Notamacropus eugenii: one gene and its partner. The protein of the gene in region 2 interacts with the protein of the main gene of each other region in a pairwise test. Links are inferred from orthologs where the notes say so. Each region holds a gene or a part of one and is shown on either strand. Other genes may lie near its edges.

The links.
Region 1: the proteins of NUDT18 (region 2) and GLUL interact in a two-hybrid assay, tested with the Homo sapiens proteins (2 studies listed by BioGRID and IntAct). The two-hybrid records come from large-scale screens. The link is inferred for Notamacropus eugenii from reciprocal best matches to the Homo sapiens genes NUDT18 and GLUL.

The regions. Positions count from the first base shown.
Region 1 is NC_092873.1:462,942,103-462,952,257, reverse strand, and holds the start of GLUL (glutamine synthetase), read right to left. Parts: upstream 4,201-10,155; 5' UTR 3,842-4,200; coding exon 3,618-3,841; intron 1,979-3,617; coding exon 1,800-1,978; intron 538-1,799; coding exon 376-537; intron 1-375. UniProt on the Homo sapiens protein: Glutamine synthetase that catalyzes the ATP-dependent conversion of glutamate and ammonia to glutamine.
Region 2 is NC_092872.1:612,587,980-612,598,220, reverse strand, and holds the start of NUDT18 (8-oxo-dGDP phosphatase NUDT18), read right to left. Parts: upstream 3,900-10,241; 5' UTR 3,695-3,899; coding exon of another isoform or gene 3,647-3,694; 5' UTR 3,259-3,646; coding exon 3,097-3,258; intron 3,091-3,096; exon of another isoform or gene 2,701-3,090; intron 2,695-2,700; exon of another isoform or gene 2,212-2,694; intron 1,348-2,211; exon of another isoform or gene 1,295-1,347; intron 1-1,294. Other genes in the region: uncharacterized protein, read left to right, coding at 3,647-3,694, 3,900-4,605. UniProt on the Homo sapiens protein: Mediates the hydrolysis of oxidized nucleoside diphosphate derivatives. Hydrolyzes 8-oxo-7,8-dihydroguanine (8-oxo-Gua)-containing deoxyribo- and ribonucleoside diphosphates to the monophosphates. Hydrolyzes 8-oxo-dGDP and 8-oxo-GDP with the same efficiencies.

The sequences.
Region 1 (10,155 bases), on a different chromosome or scaffold from region 2:
CCTTCCAAGAAAAGACCTTTTTCAAATACTTGTAGACTGCCAGGCTTTCTTCTTAGCCCCCTCTATTTCTGATCTTAATGAGCTCCCCTGTTATCCTCTCCTCTAGGGAGATGCTAAGAAATGTTAACCCTTGTATTTCGTACCTTTACAATATCTCTCCCATTTAGTCACTTTTTATTTAGAGAGTGGCTCCTCATTCAGGGTCTCATGACCCTTACATGAACTACTACAATAGCTTCTTTTGGTTCTCCTGCTCTCCAAGAGCAAGAGTTTATTAATCACTATACCTTGCTAAAATCCAAATCATTCTGAATGGGGAGGAGAGGGGGCTTCCCCTCATTCCCTGTCAGATGAGAAAAAATAACTAATCCTTACCTGCAGGCTTGCGGTTATACTTGAAAACTTCACAGAAAACCAGTTTGTTGGGGTCCTTTCGGAAGGGGTCTCGGAACATAGCAGCAGGAATAAGGTACATGTCACTGTTAGAGCCTTCGGACTGAAAAGTGCTAGAGCCATCAAAATTCCATTCAGGTAGTTCTGGGAGGAATAGGGAGAGAAGAGGTAGGAGGTAAGACAATCAATTCCATTAAAAGATGTACGTTTTTCAGTCTGGATTATTATTCCCAACCTTCCCACCTAATTGTTTCTTTTTTCCCCGTAGAAAGAATGAATTCTTGTGATAAGAGAAAAAAGAGAAAGACAAGAGATTAACCAGGAAGAGTTCTTACTAGTCACAGATTTAGACCTGGAAGGGCCAGAGATCAACTAATCCAACCTCCTCATGTTACAGATGAGGAAAATGATCTTCAAAGGAAAGCTATTACCCCAATGTCTACACAAGTAGGTAAGGGAAACAGTATATTCAACCTCAGGCACTCTTATGATTCCAAAACCAGAGCCTTCAGTAAAAAACTTTGCTCAAAGTACAAATAATTTAAGTACTTTAACTGTAAGTAATTTAGTCATTTTTCAGTTGTGTCTGACTCTTCATGACTCCTGTTGGGGTTTTCCTTGCAAAGATACTGGAGTGGTACTGTCATTTCCTTCTCTGGCTCCTTTTACAGGTGAGGAAACTGAGGCCAACATGGTAAGTGACTTGTTGTCCAGGGTCACAAAGCTAGTAAGTGTCCCAAGTCTTCCTGCCTCTAGGCCAGTGTTCTAGCCACTGAGCCACCTAGCTGCCCTAATTTATAAATTACAAAGGTTTTTACTATTTTATACTTTGCCCAAGTGTCTTTCCCCCTTACCATTCACCCTATTCTTCCTCAGTAAGAAAAATTATATTCTAAGGTAGTTGGAGTCACTATCCTATTCTCATTCTGTACATTCTGATCTTGTACAAGCCACTTAACATCTAAAACTCCTCATGTGTAAAAAAGGTTTAACTATACCTGCTTCACAGGCTAAAATGACATGAATATAAAGCACTTAGCAATCTTAAAGGTCTGCAGATGCCAACTATTATTAGGACTGCCCTTGGATTTGCACAGGAAGCAAACTGAAGGTGAGACCAATTCACCAGGATCAGAGATTTTTAATTACTAATATAGTGTTAGTAGCCAATGGAGTGGGTCAACTCTTCTCTTGCAGATTTTGATTTAAATAAGAGGCCCCCATTCTTTTGTCTTCAATTGGAATACAATAAAAATTAATCTGGTAGGAATTAGGCTAAGGGTAGCATAGGTTTTGCTCAAGTGTTCAGAGTCTGATATACACAATACAAAACAGTCAAAGGTAAATGCTTTGGACAGAAGAAACATGGAAAGAAAGGGTAGCTGCAGGGATGGATTTCCTCTTACCATCAATGCTCTTCGGTTCACTGTCTAGGGTCCGAGTCTTACAGCGAAGTCCCTCACCAGTGCCATCGATCCAAACATACATGGCCAGGACTTTGTTCCCTTGAGGCAGGTTCAGGTACATCTGCTTGATATTTTTGTTCAAGTGAGAACTGGCTGAGGTGGCCATGTTGGAAGTTGACCTGGTTAAAGAGAGGGAAGAGAAGACGACAGGAAGGGAGGTAAAAAGAAAGAAAACATGAGAACACTGACCCCAAGCTGATCTGTTGCTAGGATTCCTCAGAAAAGCAGATTTACCCAGACAGGTAAATCATATCCAAAGCATTAACTCCCAAGCTTTCAGTCAATTAGTCTTTCAAATATTTGTTAAATGAATAAAGCAAAGTACTAAGGTAGGTCTTAGGGACATAAAAGACAAAACCAAAACAGCCCCTACTCCGAGCTTCTTTAATTGGGATTACAGGTGTACACAGAATAATGGAACATATATAGTAAATCAAAGAACACACTGGCAGCTGGGTGGATGGAAATCAAGGAAGGCTTCAGAGATGGTAGCTCCCTGCATAGAGATACACAGATGTTTGAATCAGTTATCAATTATGCCGCTTCTCTCAGGCATTAACAAAGCCACAAATTCTCTAAATACCTAACAGAAAAGGGAGGTGTGCCTGGAGAAAAACTTTAAAAATTAGAAGGCCAGCAGGTTTCCAAAGGAAGGATCAATAAATGGAAAGGCTTATAGTGCCTTATATGTACCCAACGGTACAGATAGTTTATTGACCCATTACACAGCTTTTAAGACAGGGAGATGGCATTTTTCTTCATTCCACTGAAGTAGTGAAGGAGCAACCATCAGATTTAAAAGTTGGGATCAAATCCAAATCTACCAACCCACATCCTGCCCCCACTAGGGCTAACTTCAAATCAGTCAGGAAAACTCCCATGTCCAGAACATGGGTCAAGTATTAGTCTAATCAAAAGATGAAGGAGTCCTGAAAAACCAGAGAGCACCCAAGCATACAGTTCAAGCTTCTTTTAAAGAAATCTCCCAAATCAAGGGAGAAAATACAATTAGAAGGGCAGAGTGGTTGGTGAGATCTACCAAAGATAACTTTGAACACAGAAGCAACAGTTTCCATAGGTAACCACAACCCAGTTCCCACTTACTCAGTCAAGACTTTGGGGGGAAATTCACATGGTCGGGTCAATACCTCAACTGCTTCTCCAACAATACCAGGGAAATTCCATTTCTCCTTGGACTCTTTCCAGGAGACCTCCCTTCCACTAACTTACCAAGTCTAGTCCTATTCACTGAATGACCCTTAACTCACTTGAGTACCTCAAAAGACCTCAGCCTAAAAGGGCAAGGGTGTCCCACTGCTTCCTTGGCCATCTCTAGTCATCCTGAGGTCTGTCTGGTCACCAGAAACAGATGACTCTGGAGGAGAAAGTGAGGCTGGTGACCTTGCACAGAACCTCACTCAAATCAAAGTCTACTGCAAGTCATGTCAACATTTCGCTGATGCCACGGTCCTCTTCAAAAAAGAAAGGAAAAAAACACAAGTCTAGTCAATTCATCCCGGGGCACTTTTTTTTAAAGACAAAGTATACTTCCTCTATTGGCCAAGGAGTTTTTCCTTCAGCGTTTTAACCTCAGGCTAAACCACATTAGGCAGGAACACCTGTAGGGCCTTAAAAGTGGTCTGGGGTGGAAGCTGCTGCTTTCCCGAATTTTTTCTCTCTTCTTTCTTCGAGATCACCGCCCCCCCGCCCCCCCCCCCCCCCCCCCCCCCCCCCCGTCTCCTCCTCTTCTCCACTCACCCCGGCCATTGTGGGATAAGGAAATCGATCTGATTAGGCCTACGCTTCAACCGTCTCTTTTTCAGCTTCTGCCCATGCCTTTCCTCATAGTCGCTGGTCTCATACTGATCGCTGTGATTTCGCTTTTCCCCCTTTCCCCTCCGGGCCCGAGGAGAAGAGGATCGTGAAACCAGGTGCGGGGATATCGATCGAGGAGAAATAGTCTGGGAGGAAACTGCCTTCATAATCACTAAAGGGGTCCCCTCTGACTTCAACGTCCGAGGAATATAGGAGCTGTACGAGGAGGCGGATGACCCCGAGTCTTCTGGGCTTTCCACCCTTTTCTCCCTCCCTTTACCCCTCGCTTCTTTCCCTTCCAGTGGTTGGCAAGGAGATGGACCCCCTGCCCCCCACCCCCCGCCCCTCCCCTCCAGCTCCTGATTTTACGATCTTACAGAGAGAGAACTGTAAGAAGGAGCATGCCCCTCCTTAGAGAAGAGGGTGCCGGGGGGAGGGTGAGGCAGCCAGGCAGAATGTAAAAGAGGCCAGGCCGGCTGCCTTCTGTCTCTGGCCTCTTCCAGTCTCCGCCGACTCTCAAGGTAACGCAGCAGCTCGGGAGGTCCCATTGTTTGGTCACAAATGGAAGCCTCGAATTGCCCCGGAATTTCTCCGGGACCTATCCCGCGGTTGCAAGCCGCCGAGGTGGTGCACAAGTAACTGAGCTGTGACCAGGCCGGCCACTCCCTTTCCAATAAAATTTTAGAACAAAATCCCGAAAAGCTTTCTCCTCCCCTCCTCCTAGAAGAACGCGAAACCCCAAACACAATCTCTGGGTTTCACTCCCACAAAGAAGATCAAACAGAAACGTCGCAATCCCAGTCCGGATACTCAAACATTGGACCCCAACGTCTAAAAGCACTGTGCATGCGGGGGCGACCATCGAAAAGGCCCTTGGGGAGGTCCTGAGGACACCAAGAAAAACAATCCTCTTCCCCCTCCTACCCCCGCCCAAGTCTTTCCATAGAGCGCCCAGCATCAGCACAATCCTTGGAAACAAGAAGGCATTCTTGCACGCTTCGGGGCGACTTGTGCACCAAGGAGGGAGGCGTAAGGGGGAAGAAGAAAGACCTCGGGGCTCGGGCGGGGAGGCGGGGTTGGGAAAAGACAAGTTTTGAAAAACATCCTTTGCGGGGTCCCTCCCCGCCCCTCTAGAGAGGGCTCGGGGTGGGCTGGGTGGTTACCTGGGTCTTGTAAGACGCGGAAATCAGCTGTCAAGGTGGAGGGCACAGGCCGATCGCTCCGCGGGCTCGCTGGCTGGCGGGGCTGGTCGGAGACTCTAGGGGGTGGCCGTGCAGATGGCTCCGGTGGCTACAGAACAGTCAGCCGCTTCCATCCTCGGCTCTGCCCGGTTCGCCAGCCCGCTTAGCTCCATTTATTCCCCGCGCAGGGCCGGCCCCCGCCAGCCCTGATTGGCTTCCCGCAGCCCAGCGCCCGACCTGCTCAGCTGATGAGGGGCGAAACGGTCCAGGCCATTGGGCAGGGGGTGGTGCCTGCCCAGGGGGCGGAGAAGAAAGAAAGGGAAGTGGGGGATGGGGCGGGCTGGGTGGGAGAAGAAGAGAGAGAAAGCAGGGCCGGGGGTGGGGAGGGTCATCCGATCCAGCTCGCGCCTGGCCCGCCCGGGGAGAACCCCGCCCACTGCAGCTGAGAGAGAGAGAGGGAGAGGGAGAGAGAGAGAGAGGAGAGAAAAACAACCTCGGCTGCCCGGACCAGGGACTTCCCTCCAGCTGCTGCCGCAGCCCGACCCCTGCCAGGCAATCAGCATATTGTGTTCTCTCCCCCCACCCCCTTTTCCGCGGAACGCAAAGCTCAAGAACCTGGCGCAGTGTGGGGTAGCTGGGCCGCGCCCTCCTTCACCCCTGTTTTTGCCAAATCGCCCACTCCGCTCTGCACCCGGGAGCGTCTGTGCAACTTCTGTGAGACCTCCGATTACGCCTCCCGCTCTGGGGCTCTCCACCCCCCAAGAACCGGGGCAGGGTTGAAATGAGCCGAGAACTTCCCCACCCTTCCAGCAGAATTGTGCTGTGCAGATGCTGCCCCCACCACGAGGGAGGCATTTGCTTCAAGCGCTTTCTTTGCGGTTTCAGCTCTTCCCCTTTAAATTGGAGAGAGACACAGGCCCAGGAAGGAGATAGGGTAAAGGTGTGAGACTTGGCTGGGTGGCAGCCCGTACGGACGAGCAAGCCTGGGGGAGGAGGGATAGAGACCAGAATAAATCCACAGGGATTCCTAAAGCCTGGAGGTTGTGGGTTGATTGGTTTGTTTCTCTCCCAAATGTTCTTGGAAAGTGACCAGCCCAGCCCTTTCAAAATGTGCATGAATGTTTTCAGAAAAACGAGGAGCCGACGCTCCAAGCATGGAGGGGAATTTCCTCTTGCCCCATTTTCACTCCTAATTTCATTGATTCTGAGCCCCTAAAATTCTCTCTGTAAAATGGGGATAATAACTTCTCCAAAGTACCTACCTCACTAGTGTGTGAAAGCCCTTTGAAAAGTACACAATCTGTAAAAGTGCAAGAAGTGCTATTTGATATATTAACCAAATGAATGGTACTGTTACGTAGTCACTAGAAACCCAATTGATCATTAATAGCAATTCATCTTTAGGAAGTTTTAAGACTTGGCAAACCACTTGCTCAAGGAGCTTGAAGAAAGTAGAATTTTGCCCTGACTTCTTGATTTGGAAGAAAAAAACGGGGAAACATTTCCGCTGAATGTCCAAGCCATGCAAGAGAAATCTGTCCTGTGAGGGACCACAGGCACCCATACTTGACCTCTCTGAGTCCTCAGAATCACCATTCCCTAAAATGCGGATAAGAATTCATTTTAAAAGTTGTTAAAGTAACATACCTTGTGTACATTTAAAATAGGATTGTTCAGTACTTGAGAAGTTCGGAAAAAGCAAATAAATGCAAGGGAAGGAAGTGAAAGGATCTAAGAGCTAAGAATTTTTAGTCGTGTTTGAGTGTAGAGCTCTGTGTGGCCTTAATAGAGGGGAAAGTGCTACTATTCTCCAAATCAGGAGACCTGAATTCAGTTTTCTCCTCTTCTAATTCTTTTCCTATGTGACCTTGATTAAGTTATGCAACTCTTCTGGGTCTCAGTTTTCCTCAACTATAAAATAAGGGAGTTGAATTAAAAGGTCCCTTCCAAATTTGACATTTTACTTTTCTGTGAGGGGAAATGAGGAGATTCTAAAAAACAAACAAAAGCAAACAAAAAAAAAATGATGAAACTTTGGAATGTTCAGTTCTTGAAAGAGGAGGCCAAAGAGTTTTATTTGTTTTGCTTTACGTGTCTATAAGGACTTCAAGCCGTTAGTGAGATGATTCATTTATTCATTCATGTTAACTAGGTGCTTTTGCATTCAAAACCAAGAGAATGAAAAGGTTCCTGTCCTCCGGGAACTTATATAACATCATTAATTCCTGATGGCTTTATAAACTTTCAATACAATATCAAAATAAGTTCATCATCAATCACAATTAGCATATTGCCCATAATTATAAATTTTTAGATGCCAAAATTTGTTGTTCACTGTCAAATGTCATCATCACCGCCCACTTTAAGCACAGAGTACTACAGAGTACTTTTAATAAATCTTGGGATAAAAAGAACTAGAAGAATCAGCTCCTTAAATCAACAAGTATTTGTTTAGTACCTGCTGTGTGCCAGACACTTTTACTAAATGCTGAGTCTCCAAAAAAAGGCAAAAGGCTGACAGTCTTTGTTCTCAAACTTTGATGGGGAAACAATAGGCAAATAGCTATGTGTAAACTATGTACAAACAAGCCATGTATAAAGAGAAGGGACTAAGATAAAAGAGAACAGGAAACACTTTCTTAAAATACGATGTTACAGAGGATTTCCCAATATAATAAGGATATTAATCTATTCTTAAAGGTTTGGGGTATTTTTGTTATCTCTTTTGGTTGATTCCTGAAAGTAAAGATGAATTACACTAATCCACAGTTTGACTCATGGTATAGGGGTCCTAGGCTTTGGGGCTGCATTCCAGGACCATAGAGTGGATTGAGAATCAAACAAACCTGCTGTAGAACTGTACCTGTAACCTTTGCATCCATAGCATCGTAGCCATTTGAGTTAACCAGCCCATGCATGAGAATCCCAACCCAAACTCTAAAGAAAGCCAGTCCTAGAGAGTGTATGGAGAAGGAAAGTTTGACTGGTTTGTCTTTCTGAATCCCAAGGTAATTAGAGAAACTCAAAGCTGGCATTTTTTCCACATTTCTGCACCCACCAACAGCAGTCTGGATGTCCTTTAATCAATCTCTCTCCCCTCAGAAAAGGGATGAGGATCCCTGAACCCTTGGATTCTCCTTCTCAGCGTCTCCTGGGACATAAATACCAGTGCTCCTCTACCTTTGAGTTTTTTTCCTTTAGAGCAGAGAGAGGCAAAAGAAGCCAAATCAGGTTCCAGTTTCCATTTCAATACTCACATACCTCATATCAAGTCATTTTGCTTTTCTTGCTCCATGTCCTTAACTGTTCCAATTTTATTTTATTATTTATTTAGCATTTTATTTTTCCCCAATAACATGTAAAAACAATTTTTAACATTCATTTTTAAAACTTTGAGTTCCAAATTCTCTGCCTTCATCCCTCCCCACCCCACCCTACCCCACCCCACACTCACCCTCATTGAGAGGGCAAGCAATTAGATATAGTTTATACATGTGTAGTCATATAAAACATTTCCATAGTAGTCATGTTGTGAAAGAAAACATAGACTTTAAAAAATCCTCAAGAAAAATAAAGTTAAAAAAAAGTGTGCTTCAATCTGTATTCAGATACCATCAGTTTTCTCTTGGGATGGACAGCATTTTTCATCCTATATCTTTCAGAGTTGTTTTGGATAATTATCTTGCTGAAAATAGCTAGGTCATTCACAGTTGATAATCTTACATTATTGCTGTTACTTTGTGCACAATACATTTCACTTTGCATCAGCTCATGTAAGTCTTTTCAGGTTTTTCTAAGAGTATCCTGCTCATCATTTCTCACAATAATGTTGAATCACAGTCACACACCGAAATGTTTTCAACCATTCCCCAGATGATGGACATTCCCTCAATTTCTATTTCTTTGCTCCCCCAGAAAAGAGCTGCTATAAATATTTTTGTACATATAGGTCTTTTTTCTTTTTAATTTTTTTGGAATACAAACCTAGTAGTGGTAGTGGTAGGTCAAAGGGTATACAGGGTTTTATAGCCTTTGGCATAGTTTCTGGGTCCATTTCCTCTGCAAGGTGACAGTTTTAGACTAAATGAAGGAGGTAGGGGTGGAATGGGGAAATGAATAAGGATTTATATAGTGCTTGCCAAGTGCCAGATACTTTTTTTTTTTTTTACAAATATTACAACCCTGTTAGTAGGTGCTATTAATATTTCCATTTTATAGTTGAGGAACCTGAGGAAAACAGAGGTTAAATGGCTTGTCTAGGATTACACTGTTGGTAAATATCTTATTACAAGAAGTCAGATTTGAAAGCAGGTCCTGATTCCAGGCCTAGTGCTGTAACCACTGTGCCACCAGTTGCCAAAGGCTAAATTACTTTTTTGATCCTATTGGTTGTAAGATTCTATAATATGGGGGGGGGGAGGGGGATAAGCAGGAAGTATGTAAGGGTATGACCCTTTTATGCTCTAGCAAGGACATGGCTTGTAAGAATATAATTCAAATTGGAGGAGTGGGAGAGTAAGTTTTGTAGTTGGGGATGCTTCAGTTACAGCTCAAAACAATAGATCTAATAAAGAAATAAAAGAGTTTGTGAAATGGTGATCTCTTGCCCATGTGCACTAATCATAAAGACCAGAGTTTGAAATATAGCTCTGTTTTTACTGCTACTTACTGTGGCCTTGGGCAAGTCAAACTTTCTGGGTGTCAGCTTTCTCATTTATAAAAGGAGGGGGCTGGAGTACCTCATCTTTAAGGGACCTTCTGGTTCTAATAGTCTATGATCCAATGGCAAGCTCCCTGGGGAAGAAAGCAAGGAAAAGAAGGAAAGAAGGAAGTTAAAAAGAAGAGAAAGGAAAGAAGGTAGAAAGACAGGAAATGAAGGAAGACAGGAAGGAGAGAACTAGGAAAGGAAAGCAAAAAAGTAAAGAAGAGAGTAGGAAAAAAAATGCAATTATCAAAATATTTCTAAAAACTAGTTCACAGACCTCCTGAAATCTGTGAGAAAGTCCCCAGGTTTAGAACTCTTGCTTTAGAAAGCTAATTGCCTTTAGCAGGAAGACATTAGGTGACTTGCTCAGGCTCAAACATTTAGTATAGAGATAGGATTCGAATGCAGATTTGCCTGACTCCAAAGTCAGTCTTTTATCCACTGATTCCAACTGCATCTCTGTTAAATACAGTTAAAACTTTCCTTCCTTCCTTCCTTCCTCCCCTTCCCTCTCTAAACCTGTGTTTACATCCTCGTAGAAGGTTCCTATTGAGAAAACTCTCTCACCTTCATAGTTATCTGTAGGACTAAGAAG
Region 2 (10,241 bases):
TTGTTTTGATGATCCTACCTCACAGAGCAGTGAAGATCAAATGAGATATGTATGTACAAGTCCACTCTGCCTTCCCTCTGGTGATCACCTCTAATTTATCCTGTCTATGCATATCCTGTCTGTCTGTACATAGTTGTTTGTAGGTTGACTCTCCCAATAGGTATGAGCTCCTTGGGAGTAAGGGACTGATTTTTTGCCTTTTTTTGTATCTCTAATGCTTACTACAGTACTTGGCACATCAGAGGTGCTTAATAAATGCTTGTCAACTGACTTTAAACCTTAGAATGCTATTCAAATGGCCAGCTGTCATCATCCTTGTTACTTTAATTCCTCAGGCCTCACAAATTCTCCCCTGCCTCAGCTCCGATGACCTCTATCACCTCTTTACCACAGCCTCTCACTTAGGTGGTCAAATCTTAGACCTTGCCATTACTTAAAACTATTTCACCTTTGAGATCATAAACTATGAATTTCCTGTCTCTGACATAAATCACTCCCACTTCTCCAGGTCTCCTTTTCATGACCTCTGGTCACCTGATTCTTTCCTCTTTCAGCCACATCCTCTTCTGACTTGTCTCCCTACACAGTCAACCACATGATCACCTCTTTCAAAGTCCCACTCTTCTTTATTCTTGAATACCTTGTCCTTTGACTTTCTGTCATTCTTGCCCTAATTTAAAATCCTAGATGAGGATGAGCTCCCTTCTCTGCTCCTATTCCTGAACTGCCTTAACAAAGTAGAAGTGATGAAAATCCCCTGATGGGGTGCTAGAAATGTATGCTAATAACCCTCAACTGGGACTTCCCTTGATTCATGGCAATTATTCTATTTATGTCTATTGATTCCAAATCACCTTCCCCTCCCCAGCTACTCCAAAACTCCTTTCTCCTCAAACCCCCCAATTCTAATCTATCCCACTCACTGTCAGTAGTTGGCCCCAATCTTAGGTGGTCATCTGCCTGAAACTTCCCTCAATTTCCCTCTTCCACACCTCAAAGTCTGTGGTAATACCCAGACCCAGGCCCAGTTCCTTTCCTCTGGTCTCTGAGGAAGAGGTGACCTCCCTTTCTGGCCACCTGGGCCCATCTCCTCCCTCCTTCTTCAGGACCTGCATCAAATGTATATTCTCCCATCTTTGGTCTCTTCCTCTTTAGTGACGCCTTTCCTTTACTTACAAACATATCCAGGTTTCTCCTAACTTAAAAACAAACAAACACCCTTCTAAATCAGCTATGCCCTCAAACTATTCTTCTTTCCTCTTTAGAAAGAATAGTTATGCACTTCTAAACTTGCCTTTTGACCATTCACTTTTTAATCTCTCTCTCTGGTGGCTCCTCTTCCAGCTCCTGAAAAACAGGGTGGGTGGAGGGAGGAGGTTCCTCACTTCTCTTTTTCCTCAGTATCTCTCCCATCTCCCAGTAACTGACTCTTCTGTCTCAATATCTATCTCTTAGTATCTGCCTCTCTCTCTCTGTCTCTCTCTCTCTGTCTCTGTCTCTCTCTCTCTCTCTCCCTCTCTCTCTCTTTCTCCTTCCCTCCCTCCCTCTCTCTCTCTCTCTCTGTCCCACCCCCATCACTGTCTCTTTCTCTTCCTTTCTCAACTCTGCCTCTCTCTCTTTCCCTCTCTTAGTATCTGCCCCTCTCTCCTCTCCTGTTTCTCTGTATCTTTCAGGATCTGCCTCTCCCCCCCTCCCCTTTCCACTCTCTGTTTCTCTCAGGATCTGCCTGTCTTTCTATAAAGTTTCCCTTGATGATTTCATCAACTTTCATGGCTCCCATTTTCACCCCAAGGCAGATGACTCCCAAATCTTTATCTCTAGATTTGATCCTCCCATGCATGCCAATCCAAGGCTTCCAATTGCCTGTGGGTACCTCCCATATCAAGATGTCCTGTCAGGACTTCAAAGTCAGTGTGTCCTAAACTGAACTCATCATCCTACCTCCAAAACCTGCCCTTCTTGATTTCTGTATTTCTGTTAATAATACTAACACCCTCCCAGTCACAAAAGACCGTAAACCTCAGTAATCTTTAGTTATTCCTCCTCCCCTTGAGGCAGCTAAGTGGTAATAGATCACTAGGTCTGCAGTCAGGAAGATCTGAGTTCAAATTTGACCTCTGGTATTTACTATGTGCGACCCTAGTCGAGTCACTTAACCTCTATCTACCGAAGTTTCCTCAACAGTAACATGAGGACAATGGTGGTACTTACCTCCCAGGGTTGTTGTGGGGATCAAACAAGACGATATTTGTAAAGTGCTTGGCACACAGCAGTGGTTTAAAAAATACCTGTTCTAATCTCCCCATGTCAGTTCAATAAACATTTATTTACCCCAATAAAATATAAGCCCCTTGAAGGCAGGATGTGTTTTGTCCTTTTATCTTTGGATAACCTCAGCATGTGGTACACAGTAGATGTTTAATAAATGCCTGTTCTCACTCTCCTCCCCCTATATCTATTCAATAAGCATTTATTTCCCCCGAGTAGAATACAAACCCCTGAGGGCAGGGACAGTTTTATCTTTTTATCTCTGTAACCCCAACATGTGGCACATAGTGGGTGCTTACTAAATCCTTCCTGAACAGCTGGACAACTGCTAAGGTTTCCCTCTTTATTCAAGACCCGGCTCATGGAGCCAGTCATGGAGCTTTCTCTAAACGTTTGGTCTGCATCTTTCCTATACGTTTATCACACTCCCACCTGCAAGTGCCGACAGGTGAGCTCCCTGAGGGTAGGGATGGTATCTTGTTTCTCCTCTCGGTCTCCTTAGCTTACGGTGAGCGAGTGTTTAATCAATAAATGGTGACTAGAATTCTCCGTGCTTGCACCCTGTGGCAGCCAGCGCGGTGCGCTGTGCCCAGCAGACACTCAGTCAATGTTTGGGGTGAATGTTAGACTTCTTTGGGTGTCACTCCTGCAGGGCACGTAATACAATGCTGAATGAAAACGGGGTCAGCACCTCGCCAATGAGGGGGGCCTCTCCTCGTCTCTCCTTCCTAAGCCCATGGGTTACATGGGCCCGGGCTCTGGGGTCCTCTATCTTGGGGTGTCTGGGGTCCCAAAGACTTTGGAGTCAGGGTCCTGGCTGCCTCTCACCTGGTCGTTGAAGAAGACAGCCAGCACGATATAGGAGACATTCTTCCTGAGCTGCACGGGCACAGGTGAGACCTTTAGCGGTACAGAGTCATAGTCCAGCACCGGCAGCCCCTGGCCCCCCAGCACGGCCCTCAGGTCCCCTGCCAGGCCTGAGGATGCCATTGGCAAGGGCGGGGGTGGAGGGTGGGGGTGGGGAGGGATGCAGGGGAGAGGCTGAGACCCAGACTGGATCACGTGGGGGGGTGTGGTTGGGGTGGAGCAGGGACTCTGGACTCAGGTGGAGCCCCAGGAACCAAGATGGAAAATTTGGGTTCAAAGGAAACGGATCCCGGGGGACACACGGGACAGACTGGAGCTAGGGGCTAAGGGCGCAGAGAGGGCAAGGTCAAGGTCAGGGTCAAGGCCAGAATCGGCCCTCGGGAAGGCTCAGGCCCAGTCGGACGAGTGGGGGGAGTTAGAGGGGGAGGGGAAATCAGGGCCTGCTCGGGTTCCCTCCTCCGGCCCCACCTCTCCCGGGAGACCCAGGCGTGCCCTCCCCACCCCCGCTGTTATGACGTTAGCCGTCCCGGCCCCTCCATTGGCCATTGGCCTTCCGGAGGTGGAGACTGTTCTTAAAGGAGCCGAGTCTGAGGAGTGACCGCTCAGACTTCCGCTTTCCCTGCTTGCGCTGCCCCCTTCGCTTCTCCCTCCGGCGGCGTGATGACGTCACCGCCCCCTGCGGATAGCAGATGACGTCACCCACAGAGGCGGGTGGGTGAGGCCTAGGACGGCTTCGGAGTGACGTCACAAAAAAGCGGTGACAGCTCCCCCTGACCTTTGCCTACCGCACCCCCGCTGTCTACTTCGCCCTCCCCCCTGCACCCCAGTCCGACGCAGCCACTGCCGCCCTCCTCCCTCGGGCACCCCTAAAGCTGCCCCCTGCATCGCCTGGCGCCCCTCAGAACTGGGTCAGTGCCTTTCCCCAGGTCGGCCCTTCGGACGCTGGGAGCCGGCTCGAGCCCGCAGCTCCGATTCCTTCCCCGCCCCCACCGCGCCCGGTAGTCCTTGGAATTTGGACGCTTGCGAACCGAACGCTTGTCTTTGTCTACCCCCAAGTCGCGGCCGCGGGGTGCCCCTGGCCTCCGAGCTCGGGGCTAGCGCTGGTCTGCCCACGCGCGCCCCCGGGGGCCGCGAGCCTTCTCACGAACAGGCGCCTGACCCCGCCACCCCCCCCGCGCCTCTGCGTGTCTGATCCTGCGAGTGGCTTTACGCGCGTCCGTGCAGCCCTGGACGTGCCGGGCAGCCTGGGGCTCTGCCGGGCCGCGTCACCGCGGAGAGCATCCCGCGGGCCGCGGGCTGGGAGGGGCGGACGGTCGTTACCTGGTCCGTTCGGCTGGTCCAGAGTCTGGCTCCCGCGCTCTCCCGGTGCGGTAGCCAGAGCGCCGGCCCGGGGTCAGGAGACCAGCCTTAAAGTCCCACCTGCTCCGTCCTCGGGACGTGAGGGGAAGAGCGCCCACCTCCCAGCGCCAGGTGAGATGGCATTTATAAAGCACCTGGCGAACTTGGAAGGGTTATTGCGATACCGGAGTGGCCCCGGGCAAGTCACTGAACTGCCTGCCTCAGTTTCCTCATCTGTAAAATGGAGGTAACGTAGCACAGACCTCTCCGGACTGTGAAGATCCAGTGGTGTAATGTTTGTGAAGGACCTTGCAGACCTTGAATTGCAGTATGAATGCTCATTCTCATGACTGCTATTAGCCTTCCGACACATCGGCTAGGGGAACCAGGACCAGTCATTTCACCTCTAGGCGCCCTTGGCAGCTGGGACTATAATAAGCCAAAGCGTTGACTTTCTTTGACATAGGGAGTTTCCTCATATTAGGGTTACTGTATCAGTGAAACCATAGCTCCGGTCCAAATGCCCTGAATAGGCTCCTGGTTCTTGTCACCCAACCACTCTCCCTTCCATCTTTATGTCATCTACAGATCTGATAAGCAAACCAGTTATACCTTCATCCAAGTCATTGATAAAAATCTGAAAACAGCACAGGGCCAAAGTCTGGGCATCCGTCAATGGCATCATCATCCATGAATGTTGGTTATACCAGAATCCCCAAATTCCCCTGTCTGACCCAAACCTCTCCACCCTTCCCCAAGCTTCACCCCTCTTAAAGTGCTCTTCCTCACCTGAGTCTGCAATGCCAGTTCTCCCATTTCCTCAGCCAGTACTGTGGCCCTATTTACCTTCTTTCCCAGTGTTCACATTAGAGTAAAACCAGTTCAACTTTATTCTGTTTTCTGCTCTCCAAATCTCTAACCACCCCCTCCACAAATACCTACATCAAGTCATTAAACTTCTCTGTCATCTGTGATATGGGGATCATAAGTGCACCTACCTCCCCAGGTTTTTGTGATGCCTCTAGGCATCTCAAACTCAACCTTTCCAAAATAGAATTCATTTTCTTTTCCCCAAATCCTCTTCTTCCAGACTTCCCTATGCACTTAGCATAGAGCTTTGTACATAGTAAGGGCTTAATAAATTCACTATTCCTTCAGTCTTAGGTGTGGGAGTGGGGGAGAGACTCACCACCATTCTTCCAGTCACCCAGGCTCTCAAATCTCAGCATATCTCCCCTTCCTCACTTTCCCTCACCCTATATATCCAGTCCATTGCCATGTCTTGTCATTTCTCACTTCTCAATATCTGTCCAGCACATCCCCTTCTTTCTACTCATGCAGCCATCCAGGCCCTCATCACCAGTCTCCTGGTAGTGGTTTCCCTGCCTCAGGTCTCTTTCCAATCCAATCCATCCTTCAATCACTGCCAAATTATTTTCATGAAATACAGGGGGCCATGTCACCCCCTTGATCAGAAAGCTGCAATGCCTCCCTATTACCTCCAGAATCAAATATAAAATCCTATGGTATTGAAAGCCTCTTACAACTTGGCCCATTGCTAACTTTCCAGTCTTCTTATACCCTACTCCCCCTCATGATCCAGAAACAATGGCCTCTTTGAAGTTATTTCCTTGAATAAGACATTCATCTCCCACCTCTGTGCCTTTGCACTGGCTGCCCCCATGCCTGGAATGCTCTTCAACTCAAATTCCACTTTCTCAATGGCCCTTCCCCCTCGCTCCCCCCCCCCCCCCCCCCCCCCCGTCAGATTACTTTCTCTCTCTCTCTCTCTCTCTCTCTCTCTCTCTCTCTCTCTCTCTCTCTCTCTCTCTCTCTCTCGTATGTACCTAGTTATTTACATCTACTCTCTCCCATTAAAATCCCATTAGATTAATCCCATTAATTACATTAATCCCATTAGAATTAGGCCCTTGAGGGAAGGGCTTGTCTCTTTTTTCTTGTCTCTCTTTTTTTTAATCTCCAGCACTTAGTACAGTGCTGGCCACCTTTCTGACCAGCTAAGTGGCACAATAGATAGAGCACTGAGTCTGGAGTCAGGAAGACCTGAGTTCAAATCCAAGTGTGTGAGCCAGCAAGTAATTTAACCTCTCACTGCCTCAGTTTCCTCATCTGTAAAATAGAAATGAAAATAGCACCAACCTTCCAGGGTTGTTGTGAGGATCAAGTAAGATAACAATTGTAAAGCACTTTGCCAACCCTAAAGTGCTATGTACAAATGCTAACTATTATTAAATAATTATTGACTCACTGATTGTGCTTACTGTATATTTTTCACATTTGCTTATCTGTATATATACATATATGTGTGCATATATGTATGTGTATATACATGTGTGCATGTGTGTATACATACACATACACACATATATATGTTCTTTCCCCACAATAAAACATAAGTTCATTAAGGTCAGAGTCTGTTTCATTTTTGTCTTTGTACTTAGCACAAAGTAGAGGCTTAACAAATGTTTTATTTATAATTTATAATAAATGTTTATTGAGTTGAGTTGTGGATATGACAAATCCCTGTAGTCAGTGGAGACAGTTCATACTGACTAGGAAAATGCTACAAACCAGGACTTGACTTCTCATTTTGTAGATTGTCCAGATTTAAGAAAGTTATGGAGAAAATGTTAATAATTCAGATTAAAACCAAAAGTGTATCCAATGTGCTTTTTCTTCTCCAAAGAAGTGTTTGTTAAATGCTAGGACATCCCTGTCTGTGGCCATTAAACTTCAGACATCAGTGCAAGCAAAGTACAGTCATTCAACCAGCTTTGTATCCACTCTACAGCACCTTTCCCATTCTACAAAATTTTTCAGAGATGATCAACCATAGCTAAGCACTCACATTACAAGTTATTTTACTCTGGGAGTAGTTCTTCTGGACCGGTGATAAAAACTCATTGAGGACAGCTCTTTTTCCCTCATTTATTTACTCATTAGCACATTTCCTCATTCACTTGTTCACTCATCTATTTAATCATTTATTCATGACTCATCAATTCTTTGCCATACTTACCCATTCACTCACCATTTGTTTGCTCATTCATTCATTCATTGAAAAAAAATTTAATCTGTTGTTAAGTAGAGCATTGTAAAGAAAGATAAAATAGATATCTGACTTTCCAGAGCTGAGACTTGAAGGATGAAGAGGTTATAAATCTTTGTTTCATTGAATTGAGTTGAATTAAATGATGGCTAAGTGAAGAAGAAGGGGAGGGTACCCAAAGAGCCCCCTAGGGTAAATGCTCAGAGCTGTGGTCCTAGTTCCTAGTCTTCCTCATCTGCGTCCACATTTTGGGGGGAATTCTTTTGGGATTTTTTTATGGGTCCACTCAGTGCCCAGGACAAAGTCTATGCCCACCACATTCTTCCCGTTCTCTTTCTGTGTTCCCCACCCCTTACCCTCAAGCATCTGATCCATCTTACCTGGTCCAGTGACCGCCAAAGGCTGCTTCTGCCTGTAAGGATTCCCATGTTCACACTTGTCTTTCTTCCCTTGGCTCTTTGCCCAGACTCTCCCTGTCTGCACTTGCATTTTGGAGCACGCTCACAACAGAGACCCTCTTCTATTCTTACTGAGGCTATAGGCTTGGGCACACAGTAGGTGTTCTGTGATGGATTCATTAATTAATAAGGGATTGCCCACCATAGAGCTCACCACCTATTCTCCATTCAGATTCTTTCAAGGCTCCCAGGGTCAACCCATTAGCCAAGAACAGGGAGTCCTGGGGCAGTGAGTCAGGACGCCTAAATTCCAGACCTATTCCACACTAATTTGCCTTGTGAGTGTTTGGGCCTCAGGTATTCCTGTCTGTAAAGTGGGGATGATGATCCCAATCTCCTCCCTGCCTCCCAGGGATGTGGTGAGAATGAATGAGATCATGTCTGGGCAGGGCATTGAGTGCCTCTGAGACAGAGGCTAAGATAAACACCTGGTTGGAAAAACCGAATGCAATAAGGAAGACATTTCCTTAGTCCTTACTTGCTTTCTTCCTTCCTTTCTCCTTTCCTTCCTTTCTTCCTTTCTTCCTTTCTCTTTCTCTTTCCCTTTCTTTCCTTCTTTCTCTTCCTTTCTTTGTCTTTCTTTTTTCTCTTTCCCCCTTTCACTTTCTTCTTTTCATCCTTCTTCCTCCTTTCTTTTTTTCTTCCTCTTCCTCTGTTTTTTTCTGTCCTTTTTCTCTTTTTTTGCTTTCTTTCCTCCTCTGTGTTCCTCTCAACTTATGGATTCACACAAACTCCTAGGTTCAAAGTGGGGTAATTTGAGGAATAAGTGTACCTTAACAGGGACTCCATCATAGTTCAACTGGGAACCTCTAAAAATTATTTAAACTCAGTTTGCATCTTACCAGCAGACTGGCCAAGGAGCATGCTTTTCAAAAGTTAAACATTTAGTCAGGACTACAGGAAAACCTATCTCAAATACCATTCTCAAATACCATATCTCAAACCATTCTCAAATAAGTAAAAATTCATTCCCACTTCTTACTTCCTACCAGAACAGCCTGGGAAAATAAATTCTCCAAGACACATGGCCCCAAAATAGGAGAATAGAAAGTGCTTTCTCTCTCTCTCTCTCTCTCTCTCTCTCTCTCTCTCTCTCTCTCTCTCTCTCTCTCTCTCTCTCTCTCCCTCTCTCTCCCCCTACACCCCTCTCTGCCTCTGTCTCTGTTTGTCTCTCCATCCCCTTTCTCCCTCTCTGTCTCTTTCAGTATCAGATTCTCTTTCTCCAAAATTTCACTTGATGAGATCATCAACTTTCATGGCTCAGTTTTTCCCCCAAGGCAGTCTCAGCACCTTCTCACAGCCCAGTTGTCTGCTCATGTTGCTCACTGGGGTCTCAGAAACATGTCAGGACTCCTGAGCTCCTGCACAGTGGTAGTACAGTCTCTCCCCATATGGCTGCACTTTTTCCTTCTACCCAGAGTTCTCTGTCACTCTCCTGAAGGAGGTTTTTTCCCTCTCCACCTCTGTAGCAAAGGCATAGCTTTTCCTGGGAAATGAAGTCCTAGGAATATCAATTAGGCTTGATGTTGAATTGAGGGTCTTATGAAAAATGTAGTCCCTTCAATCATATGTACCCCTATTAAATCCGACCCATGATAAAAATAATTTCACTCCCTACAAATCACACTTGGTGAATATATACAGTTATACTTCATAAAATATCCATTGATTTGTATGAAAAAAATCACAATTATCCCTGAGACATATCATAAGAACATATAATGTTCAGTTAATATCTCATATAGTAGACCAATCACATAAATTCCAAGCACAGAGAAATAATTTGTAGCAAGCAGAGTTGCATATAATAGATAGAATGTATGTTACATGTAAATAATTATTTGATTTCTTGAACTGGTTGTCTTACACTCAACATATTCAGAGCTGAACTTATCTTTCTTCCTAGATATACCCATCTTCCTAACTTATCCATTAGTGTTAAGAGATGAATATCTGGTCACTGGATCCAGATGGCTCTGGAGGAAAAGTGAGGCTGGTGACCTGCACAGCCCTCCCTCACTCAAAACAAAGTCAAGTGCAAGTAATGTTATCATTTCTCTGATGGCATGGTCTTCTTCAGCAGTGAAGGACGAACACACACACACACACACACGCACACAGGCACACACACACAATTATCTTCCAGTAACCCAGGCTTTCCACCTAGATGTTATCTCCAACTCCCTCTCACTACCCATATCCCATCAGGTGCCAAGCCCTATTATTCCTACCTTTATAGC